3 linked regions of the Kluyveromyces lactis genome follow. The protein of the gene in region 2 purifies or fractionates together with the protein of the main gene of each other region. This does not show direct contact. Links are inferred from orthologs where the notes say so. Each region holds a gene or a part of one and is shown on either strand. Other genes may lie near its edges.

Region 1 (3,766 bases), on a different chromosome or scaffold from region 2:
ATAGTGAGTCCACACTATCACGTGATTCATATTGCTAATATATATGCATAAATATTCAGTACAACTGAGATATCACCTATTCTATCATGCGCAGTGAACTGTTTACCCGATGGGTAGTACTTGTCTTAAACAGGAGGCGGGATATTGTTTGTTTGGAACAATTTCTCACTGGACTGTTGTAATTGTTTCCAGATGTTTTCGTACTTATCTGTCTTAGATCCCAGCGTACGTTGGAAATACCCTTGTAGTAGTAGCGTTATTTCCGCTAGACAATCAAGTGATTCGGCCATGATATTCAAGTTTTTATCTGTCTTTGTAGATAGTCTGTCTGTCAGTGATGATGATATAGATTCTATTGCCTTTGTATTGAAGAATTTCAAGACATCGGACAATTGACGTTCGCAATGTCTTGCATACTGTGATGGGAAGTTTGAGGCGAGTACCAATAAAGTTTTGATCATTTTGATGGCAAGGATTAGAGCCTCGCTTGCCACGAATGTCTTATCACCTAAGACAACGGATTTTTTGTGACCGGTAGAGGATTGCTTCTCATCCTTTGTTTCGTCTAATGGAGAAGGTTTGTTCAACTCGATGAATCGTGTCCAATTTGACGGATCAATGTCAATACACGATACAATATCATTGACATCCTTTTGCAATTCGGGCTCGACGATGAATGGTGTCCATCTCTCTACATCGATCTTTTGTTTCAAAACCCTTATGTTCAAATTTTGTAAAGATTTCAAATATGTATCGATTTGGAGGTTCAATACGTCAGAAAGATACTTCGTTAGAAATTCACCGCTTATAGATTCACACTCTCTCATGAAAAGCATGCATATCTCGTAGAACTGAAGGAAATGATCGAAACGTAATGTACATGTGATATCCCGTCTCACTGAGATTATTTTCCCCATTCGAAGCTGTACTATCCTTATACCCTCGTTAACGCTTTTCCGAATATCAAGATCAATAATCATCTTATCAGATTGCTCTGCCGTTGTCGGTAATTCACTTAGCGAAATGTCTAATAGCATTTTCTGATGCCGCGTTAACCTCTTCAATAGTTCGATTTCAGAAGTGAATATATTTACAAGCATTGATTGGAACTCTTGAGATGATTGTTCTTGAATCAACTTTGATAGCCTTGACCCATTGGCGGCAGTTGGTTTAGAGCCATCTTTCGACTCTTCAGGTGTTTGTCTCTCATGCGGTAGATTAACCTTAATAACAGATTTCAACTCTGCTATAAATTTATCCTCGTATAGCTTCACTGCCGGAACCAACTGATCACAATCGATTAATTGTATTAGATTTTCTTTGATTTGCTTTCGGAAGGTCTCATCGATCTTTAAATGAGGTTTGTTCTTATCCTTCCTAGATTGCAATTTGATGATCGTGTCATTTTTCGATTGAGACTTCGAATACGTCCTCAAATCTTCCAATAGTACGGTAACCAGACTCAATGAGTAAGATCCCCCGATGTCAACCTTCAGATTATTTAGCATGTCTATTATGCCCTGTAAACTAGAAAAACTTGAGATGTTTGTGAGTTTGTACGGCCACTGAGAGGTCCAATCATTGACAGTGGGATCATCATTGTCACCATTTATTAAGTTCTCAACTGCTTTAACCAATTTCAAACACTCTTGTAGTTTTTCTTCTTGATATATTTCTTTACATTCTTCACATTTTTCTTTCGCTAGTTTTACTTGTAGGATCCCCTGTTGTAACTTTTCCACATTTTTCCTTCTTATGAGATCTTTAATCATCTCAATTCTTTTTGAGATTTTATCCCCATTTATCCTCTCAAGGGCCTCAGCAGCAGAATCCAACTCGTTGATTGTCTCTGTCGCATTTTCTCTAATCTTATCGACGTCTTCCAAAGCGTCAAAAAAGCTTTGTATAGACTTGGAGATTTCAGAAACAAGGAGTCCCTCAACAGTATCTAAGTAGAATGCCAATCTTCCTTGAAGCTCTTCATAGCTGTCATTTCTAACTTTATCATCATCATTTAGTAGTTGATTGGCATCAAACTCAAAATCTCGTAGAAGCATTCGAAAGAAATTGGGGTGATCTAATTTGAACTCCTTATCAAAATAGAATTCAGGTATTTCTTCAAATGCCTTGGCTTTCGTATTTTGCAATCCAAGGGCAGTTTTATCATGATCAATAGATCTCATTTGCTCCATTCGGTTCAACTTTGATATATTATTTGTCGATTGATACACCCTATATTCGTCTTTAATGTCATCTCTGTATTGATTAATATCCTTGTCCCATTTATCCTTAATATCGTTCTTGCTTAGAACTACAGGGGGAATATCCTCGGTGGTTGGGTGCCGCAACCATCTTTTAAATCTGGTGTTCATCACAATTTCATATATTGAATTATCAACCAACGGTGAATAATCAAGACCGTGTTTTTGGGTATGCATCGTTGTAGAAAAAGAATTGAATGTGGAATCAAAACTACTACGCCTCATAGACATACTGTCCCTTATTTGATCCCTGTTTCTAGATAATACAGATAGATCATCGTTCAACGAGCTAGCATCATCTGAGGCATGACTGGGCACCAATAGTGGAGATCGACTTAATTGCGTCCTACTATCAGGAGTTAGAGATAGAGCTGGTGTCTCACTTCCCAGTAACCTATCCGGCATAGTTAACTCGCTGGTTTATAGTCTGTTGGAACAGCTTTTTCTTTGCTATGCATCTTAAAGGTGTATGTATCTGTTTACAATATGAACTTTAATCGATTTTCAGTTTTTACATATTCAATGATACTTCTAAAAGAAAGTGAACATGGTAGTTTGAGTATATAATTAAGCGCACTCTCTCAACATAAATAAAACACCGTAGCAAGTTAATCAATAGAAGCATTAAGCGCTGAGCGAGAGATCTACGCAGATGGATAAAACCAAGAAAAATTGTTGTTCTTCTAATTAATACTATTTACGTAGTGAAAAAAAAATATATATGCTGGTAGAGTGGTATTTTTAAGTTTAACCTCAATAAAAAAAATGAACTCCGAATATACCTAAGAGCACTTGAGCGATCACTCAGAATCAGAATCAGATCCAAATAAAAAGCTACCCGATGAAGGAGATTTTAATGGTGGTCTTCTTACCGTCGAATTGTGTTGAGATAAAGGTTCTCCAGTGATGAAGCTATGTGTCTGTTTTAAAACAGGAGATGCAGAATTGGAAGGTGTGATAAAATCATGAATGGAATTTGCTCTAGACTTCCCTATAGATGAGGTTCGCCTTAATGATAGTGGGTCTTTTGCAGTAAGCTCTAGTTCTTCACCGTTATCGTCATGCTCTTCGTCATCATGACTGAAACCAGGTTGGGAAGAATCTGCGATGAATTCGTTGTCCGGATGTTCATCGTTATCATCTTGTACCGGAAGGCTTTGATGGTATGTATATATTTTCCCTCTTGAGTCATCATCCATATATCCGTCATTCGCGTCCTGTATTGGAGTATCTAATCCAATGCCATCCGGTACATCGAGGATATCACACGAATTGTCCACAGTTACAAAGTTGGATGTATCCCCCGTGTAAACGGAATTATAATCATACATGTAGTCAAATCCTCTGCTAGTATTCACATTGTGTGATACTGCGTTACCATAATACCATTCATTTTCGTCTTCATCATAATATTCATCGTCAGATCCGTAGTTTAGAGTAGTGGCTGGAAGTGGTTTAATAGTTGCGTTTGGAAATTTGGATAGTGAGAGTGATCTTAAAGAATT
Region 2 (3,141 bases):
TGCTATGGCTCAAGGAATGGTTCCAAATGGTATGCATCCTACGCAACCGCCAGTTGTCGGGGGACAGTATTACCCTCCACTTCCTAACCAAGCAGGTCCGCAACAAGGATACTACCACCCTCCGCCACTACCAGTACAGCAACAACAACCACAACAACCACAACCTCCGTATTCGGCTGGTCCGTCTGCATCAGATTTCTTATTACAATCAAACCCTGAATTCTCCATCGGAACTGGTCCAGCATCATACGGAAATAGCCAAAGGAGTGCAGGGCTAAACTCCGCACCAGCATCTTCAATGCACTATAAACCTGCTTATAGGAAAAGGCTCCCAAGAAAAAATAACCTACCTCTGCATCCATGTCAAGAGACAGTCCCTATGGAGCATTTTAAGTTCTGATTGTAATATTCATACTGAAACCACTCACTTTTTAAACAAATTTATTCTATTTACTGTAACAGATAATATATAGACCTCCTCTCTAGTTAACTTTTTTGAACCTTTCTACTGTTACCAATTCGACAGTGGTCGTTTACTTCTATCACGATATCAAAATTTGTTTTCGAAGTTCGATGCAGTTTCTCCATCATAAGCAAGTTCATTAATATTTGACCATTTTTATTCTACATTACTTTCTGGATCCAGCAACGGGTCTCCATTAGGAGAATTGACCTCCACTTGTGATCCAGGAGGTTTGTGAGATTTTGAAGGAGCTGATTCTCGTATAGTATGGTGATGAGGTTTCAGCATGACAAGGAGGAATAACGCTAGAACGACCAAAGATAGAAATAGAATAATTTTACATTTTTGACTCCGTTTTTGGTAGTGCGTTGCCTTGTCTAACTCCTTTTGGGCCTGCTTTAATTCAATAACCGTGTTTTCTAAGTTATAATCGATCCTATCGACCACTGTACCTTGATCTATGATCAAAGACTGCATTTCCCTGAAAATAGTACTAACTTCGAGTACACCTTTCGCTAACTGTGTAATTTCCTCATCTCTTTGTTGCAAAAATTGCTGATTGTTATCCTGTAACTTCTGATTCTGTTTTTGTAAAGTCTGCTTTGAATATGAGTCGATGTTATTGACTTCATCTCCTTCAACTTCTTCCTCCAACAACATCAATGTATCGTTACTTGATTTCGTAGTGGGTAGTGGTTTGAAATCATCTTTATTCAAAAACTTCAAATGATTATTCTGTAATATTCTGAACTTCTGCGATTTGTCTTGCACTTTCAAAGCGTAGTTCTTTTCTAGGTTATCCAATATCCTTAACTCGTCCTTGCTTAGCTGCTTACCATTCGAATATTGAGAATCCTTAATTCTCGTAAGAGTCTTGATAACACCAAAACATTCTTGGAATCTCTTAATTACCTGGAAACTTATCTGCTCAATCTCCTCCTCATCCTGCTTATTGTCCTGGAATCCTGGTAAAGAGTTCTTTTGATATAGTTTCGTCAACTGTAGCAACAATTGATCTACTGCAGATAACGACTCATCCACTTGGAACGTTAAATCGAAAAATTTTGGCGGTAATTGACGGGAGAAATCATCCATAGCAACCATATCTTCATCATTGTTACCATCGTCACTACCAATGAATGGCTGGTTCTCCAAATCTTTATTCGATCGTAGATGCTTGGTACTCGAAAGCCTCTGATGGGGGAAAGTTCTCCTATAGGATAAAAACAAATTAGTTCTATCACGAAACATGGTGCAGTTCAAAAGCAAACAAGGGAAGAAAGCACGCACTACCACTAATCTGATCTAAATAATCACTAGATCGAGCCACTCGACCAGTTGTTCTGCAGTTATTTACATACACTTGTAATTTGACACCTTAAAGTGTTGTTGAACTTTCGGTTCTCAGCTTAAAACCTTTAAAAAATGGAAAATTTGGCAAGCACAACGATAAGATGAGATGCGATGAGATGCATTGAAATAGAGGCTGCAACGGTAGGTCCAAGTGAAGTGTAACCGGGAGTTACTGTTGTTAAGAAAGGGAATCATCACATCAACAATGTCGTTCAACAGAGATGATGACTCGAAGTTGAAGTTTAAGACTTCAAAGAAGCTCAAGGTATCTGCCACTTTTGAGTCGATGAACTTGAAACCGGATTTGTTACGAGGCATATATTTTTACGGCTTTGAATATCCATCATCCATTCAGTCTAGAGCCATTTCTCAGATTATCTCAGGAAAAGATGTGATTGCCCAGGCACAGTCTGGTACCGGTAAGACGGCCACATTTACCATTGGATTATTACAAGCAATTGATTCTAAGAGCAAAGAGTTACAAGCATTGGTCTTATCACCAACAAGAGAACTAGCGAGTCAAAGTGAATCTGTGATATCTAACCTAGGAGACTATTTGAACGTTACAGCACATGCGTGCACAGGAGGTAAGGCCTTACAACAAGATATCAAGAAAGTATCGAAAAATTGTCAAGTGGTCAGTGGTACACCGGGCCGTGTACTAGATATGATCAAGAGACAAGTATTGAACGTTAGAAACTGTAAGATCTTAGTTCTCGATGAAGCAGATGAACTACTCGGAGAAACTTTGGGGTTTAAACAACAAATCTACGACATTTTCACCAAGTTACCACCGACGATTCAAGTCGTGGTGGTAAGTGCTACAATGAGTAAAGATATATTAGAGATCACCAAGAAGTTCATGAGTGACCCGGTGAAGATATTGGTTAAGCGGGATGAGATATCCTTGGACGTGATAAAGCAATATTATGTGGATGTAGAAAAGGAAGAATGGAAGTTTGATACACTCTGTGATCTATACGATTCGTTAACGATAACACAATGTGTGATATTCTGTAATACAAGGAAAAAAGTGGATTGGTTATCCAGGAAGTTGACACAGACGAATTTCTCTGTGTCCTCAATGCACGGTGACATGAAACAGGAAGAACGTGATCAAGTGATGAATGATTTCAGGAGTGGAAAAGCCAGGGTGCTAATATCGACAGACGTGTGGGCTCGTGGTATCGATGTCCAGCAGATCTCATTGGTGATAAACTACGATATACCAGATAATCTAGAGAACTATATCCATCGTATTGGTAGATCCGGACGGTTTGGACGTAAAGGTGTTGCAATAAATTTCATCACGAAGGAGGAAAGAC
Region 3 (2,625 bases), on a different chromosome or scaffold from region 2:
GTTGAGGTTTTCATTCTTTTGATTTCTTTTCTTACACTTGCATACTTTTTTTACGGAAAGATGCGAAAGGGTCCTCTTATCTGAACGTTTTAGAGATCATGTTACCCCTCAGTTGATGTGTTTTCATTCATCTAGTGATATTATCAATCAACTGCCTTTTGCGTAGGCTCATCTAGTAGATTTGCTGAGGAAGTATCATCATATTCATTAAAAATTGTACCAGCATTCTGAAATATTAGGTTTGTTTCTTACCGTAAGAAGATGTAAAAAATTGTGATACATTTCTTACTTAATTGTATATTTATTCAAAACGGTAAGGGAGCCGTTCGTCAGAAGCTTAAAAAACATTTTCGTTACCATTAACATCTTCAAAATTTCCAAACGTCCAAGCCAGATGGCAAGCTTATTTGCATCGATATAGTTGATAATGGGAAATGAAAGACGTTAACGTGAAACAAACCACTCGATGTGGTTGTACAAATGGGTATACACCATTTATAAAATAATTATTCCACCAAAAAAGTGACAGTTGTGTTAGAGAAAAGAATACAATTACAAGAGAATGAGTTGAATATTACCATTTTATAGTAGATCGTCATCCGCCTCGACGATTGTATTTTTCACCTTCAAGAGTATAGTTGTTTTCCAATGGTCTAACTTATTGAACCTATCATATTCGTAGATCTTTTGCGATAATTTTTCAGTATCACCTTCCCTTACAGCTTCAATTACGTTTGATAGTAACTCAAACTCCCTTGATTGAGAGAATGATGGATCCAACGATTGTGATTCGTTCAAACTTTTATCTGCAGCTACAACATCACCAGCAGCAAGGTAACATAGGCCAATCTTCAATAAGTACTCTTTGAGCGACCACTGGCTTAATTTATTCCCCAATGAATTTTCAACGACTTTCTTTAAGATCTCGGTAGCTTCCAAATAATCACCGTTCAAAGCTTTCAAATCGGCGCATTTAATGTAGGATTTATTCGAGAGAGCAATAGCTTGGTCTTGCAAATACCAATCACCAGCTGTTTCATAATTGGCAATGGCACTTGGGTAATCCTGTAATTGCTGTTCTTGTAATTCAGCCAATTCGAATTTGAAGTTGGCACCTCTTCTAAACTGACCTCTTCTTGTGAAAATATCTATCGACTTGGCTAAGGACTCAGCAGCTTGTGCTGGAGAAGATCCTGTCTTGAAACACTTGTAGGCTTCGATATACGTATTTCCTGCTTCATCTTCATTAGAAGCCTGTATTTGACACTCTGCTGCCCTCAAGAAAGTATCACCCGCTTGATCCAACTCCTTTCTTAGCCTATAGAGGTTTGCAGCCTCGATATAAAGATCTGCTGCTTCTTCGTAACGGTAAGAGTCTGAACCGCTAAGGAAACTGAAAAATCCTGATGATGGTTTAGCCTTCTTTTCGGCCTATTACAAAAATGACATGAGATATGTTTCCATACCATTAAGTGAAAAAGAGAGAATACGAATGATAAATCACTTCCTCTTTCATCACATTATGGCTAGGGTTTGCATATGTTTATTGTTAGTATTAGGGGTTCAGGCGAGAATAAGGTCAACCATTGTCATCATACTTTCCTAGACTTATTGATTTGACCTTTCAACATAAATGATGGAGAAAAAACGTACCTTAGCTATAATTTCTTTAACATCCGACATATTCAAAGAAAACCTGAGTGGGATATGGCTGAATGCTGTTAACTTTTGTCAACCAAGAGCTTGCTTACAACTTTTACTATCAAACTATCAACATTGTATCATCATTACATGTTACATATTCTAATTACCATCAGAAAGTAAAGAAATTCCTTAAGGGGAGAAACAACGGAAGGCTATCAGCAGCCGGGTAATTAATTCACGTGACTTTCAAATAGGCTGGCCTGGGAGCCGGTCCAAGGTATTTGGCTGGACGCGAGGATGAACACTCGACCATCACGCCTAAATCAGTTATATAGGGTAGATGGAATATAAAATAACACAAAGTGGAAAGATACGTTTTATTGAAGGATACTTATAACATGATTATACGATGCAACAAGCTTAAGCTTCAGCCATGTCTCTCAATCTTCTGATGGTAGATCTGACGGTAGCGGCAGCGGCGGTAGACAAAGTGTAAGCACCACCAGCGATGGTTCTGTTACAAGAAGAACAAGACCAGACACCAGCAGCACCTCTCTTAACACAAGTCTTACCACAGAAAGAACAGTTATAAGTGGCGTGTTGTTGAACTTCCAACTTCTTAACTTGTCTTCTCAAAGAGGAACCGTAACGGACACCGTACTTACCAGTGATACCAACCTTCTTAGTTCTTTTAGCCCTGAATATAAAATGAATTGTGTATTCATTACGTCCGATTCCAATAGTTCGATTCAATTTGTTCACATAATGGGTGGTAATGAATCGATACCACAGGTAGAATGGGTAATAACACAGATATAAAAGTTAGTAAAATTGTTGCAATTAAAGGAACAACAGTTTTTTTGGGGGAGGAGGTCTAATAGATCGTCATTTATTCTGCTGTCGTGCGTGTGGAGCTGACACTATAAATCATCACACTGGAATTTTGCATCTAGCTGTAGTTTCTTGTGCTTATGGTATAAT

The links.
Region 1: the proteins of TLG2 (region 2) and VPS54 purify together in Saccharomyces cerevisiae (affinity purification with western blotting, with the first as the bait; 3 studies listed by BioGRID). This does not show direct contact. The link is inferred for Kluyveromyces lactis from reciprocal best matches to the Saccharomyces cerevisiae genes TLG2 and VPS54.
Region 3: the proteins of TLG2 (region 2) and SEC17 purify together in Saccharomyces cerevisiae (affinity purification with western blotting; 3 studies listed by BioGRID, with this or other methods). This does not show direct contact. The link is inferred for Kluyveromyces lactis from reciprocal best matches to the Saccharomyces cerevisiae genes TLG2 and SEC17.

What each region holds. Positions count from the first base shown.
Region 1 is NC_006042.1:415,014-418,779, reverse strand, and holds VPS54 (Vps54p), read right to left. Parts: upstream 2,667-3,766; coding exon 126-2,666; downstream 1-125. Other genes in the region: RPI1 (protein phosphatase regulator REG1), read right to left, coding at 3,062-3,766. UniProt on the Saccharomyces cerevisiae protein: Involved in retrograde transport from early and late endosomes to late Golgi by linking the vesicle through the t-SNARE TGL1 to the Golgi, leading to the membrane fusion between late Golgi and endosomal vesicles.
Region 2 is NC_006037.1:927,136-930,276, reverse strand, and holds TLG2 (t-SNARE syntaxin TLG2), read right to left. Parts: upstream 1,715-3,141; coding exon 620-1,714; downstream 1-619. Other genes in the region: KLLA0_A10703g (uncharacterized protein), read left to right, coding at 1-400; ATP-dependent RNA helicase FAL1, read left to right, coding at 2,022-3,141. UniProt on the Saccharomyces cerevisiae protein: t-SNARE that functions in transport from the endosome to the late Golgi and on the endocytic pathway.
Region 3 is NC_006041.1:529,612-532,236, forward strand, and holds SEC17 (alpha-soluble NSF attachment protein SEC17), read right to left. Parts: upstream 1,684-2,625; coding exon 1,654-1,683; intron 1,432-1,653; coding exon 583-1,431; downstream 1-582. Other genes in the region: RPL43B (60S ribosomal protein eL43), read right to left, coding at 2,065-2,341. UniProt on the Saccharomyces cerevisiae protein: SNARE complex protein that binds to cis-SNARE complexes on membranes and is required for vesicular transport between the endoplasmic reticulum and the Golgi apparatus and for homotypic vacuole fusion.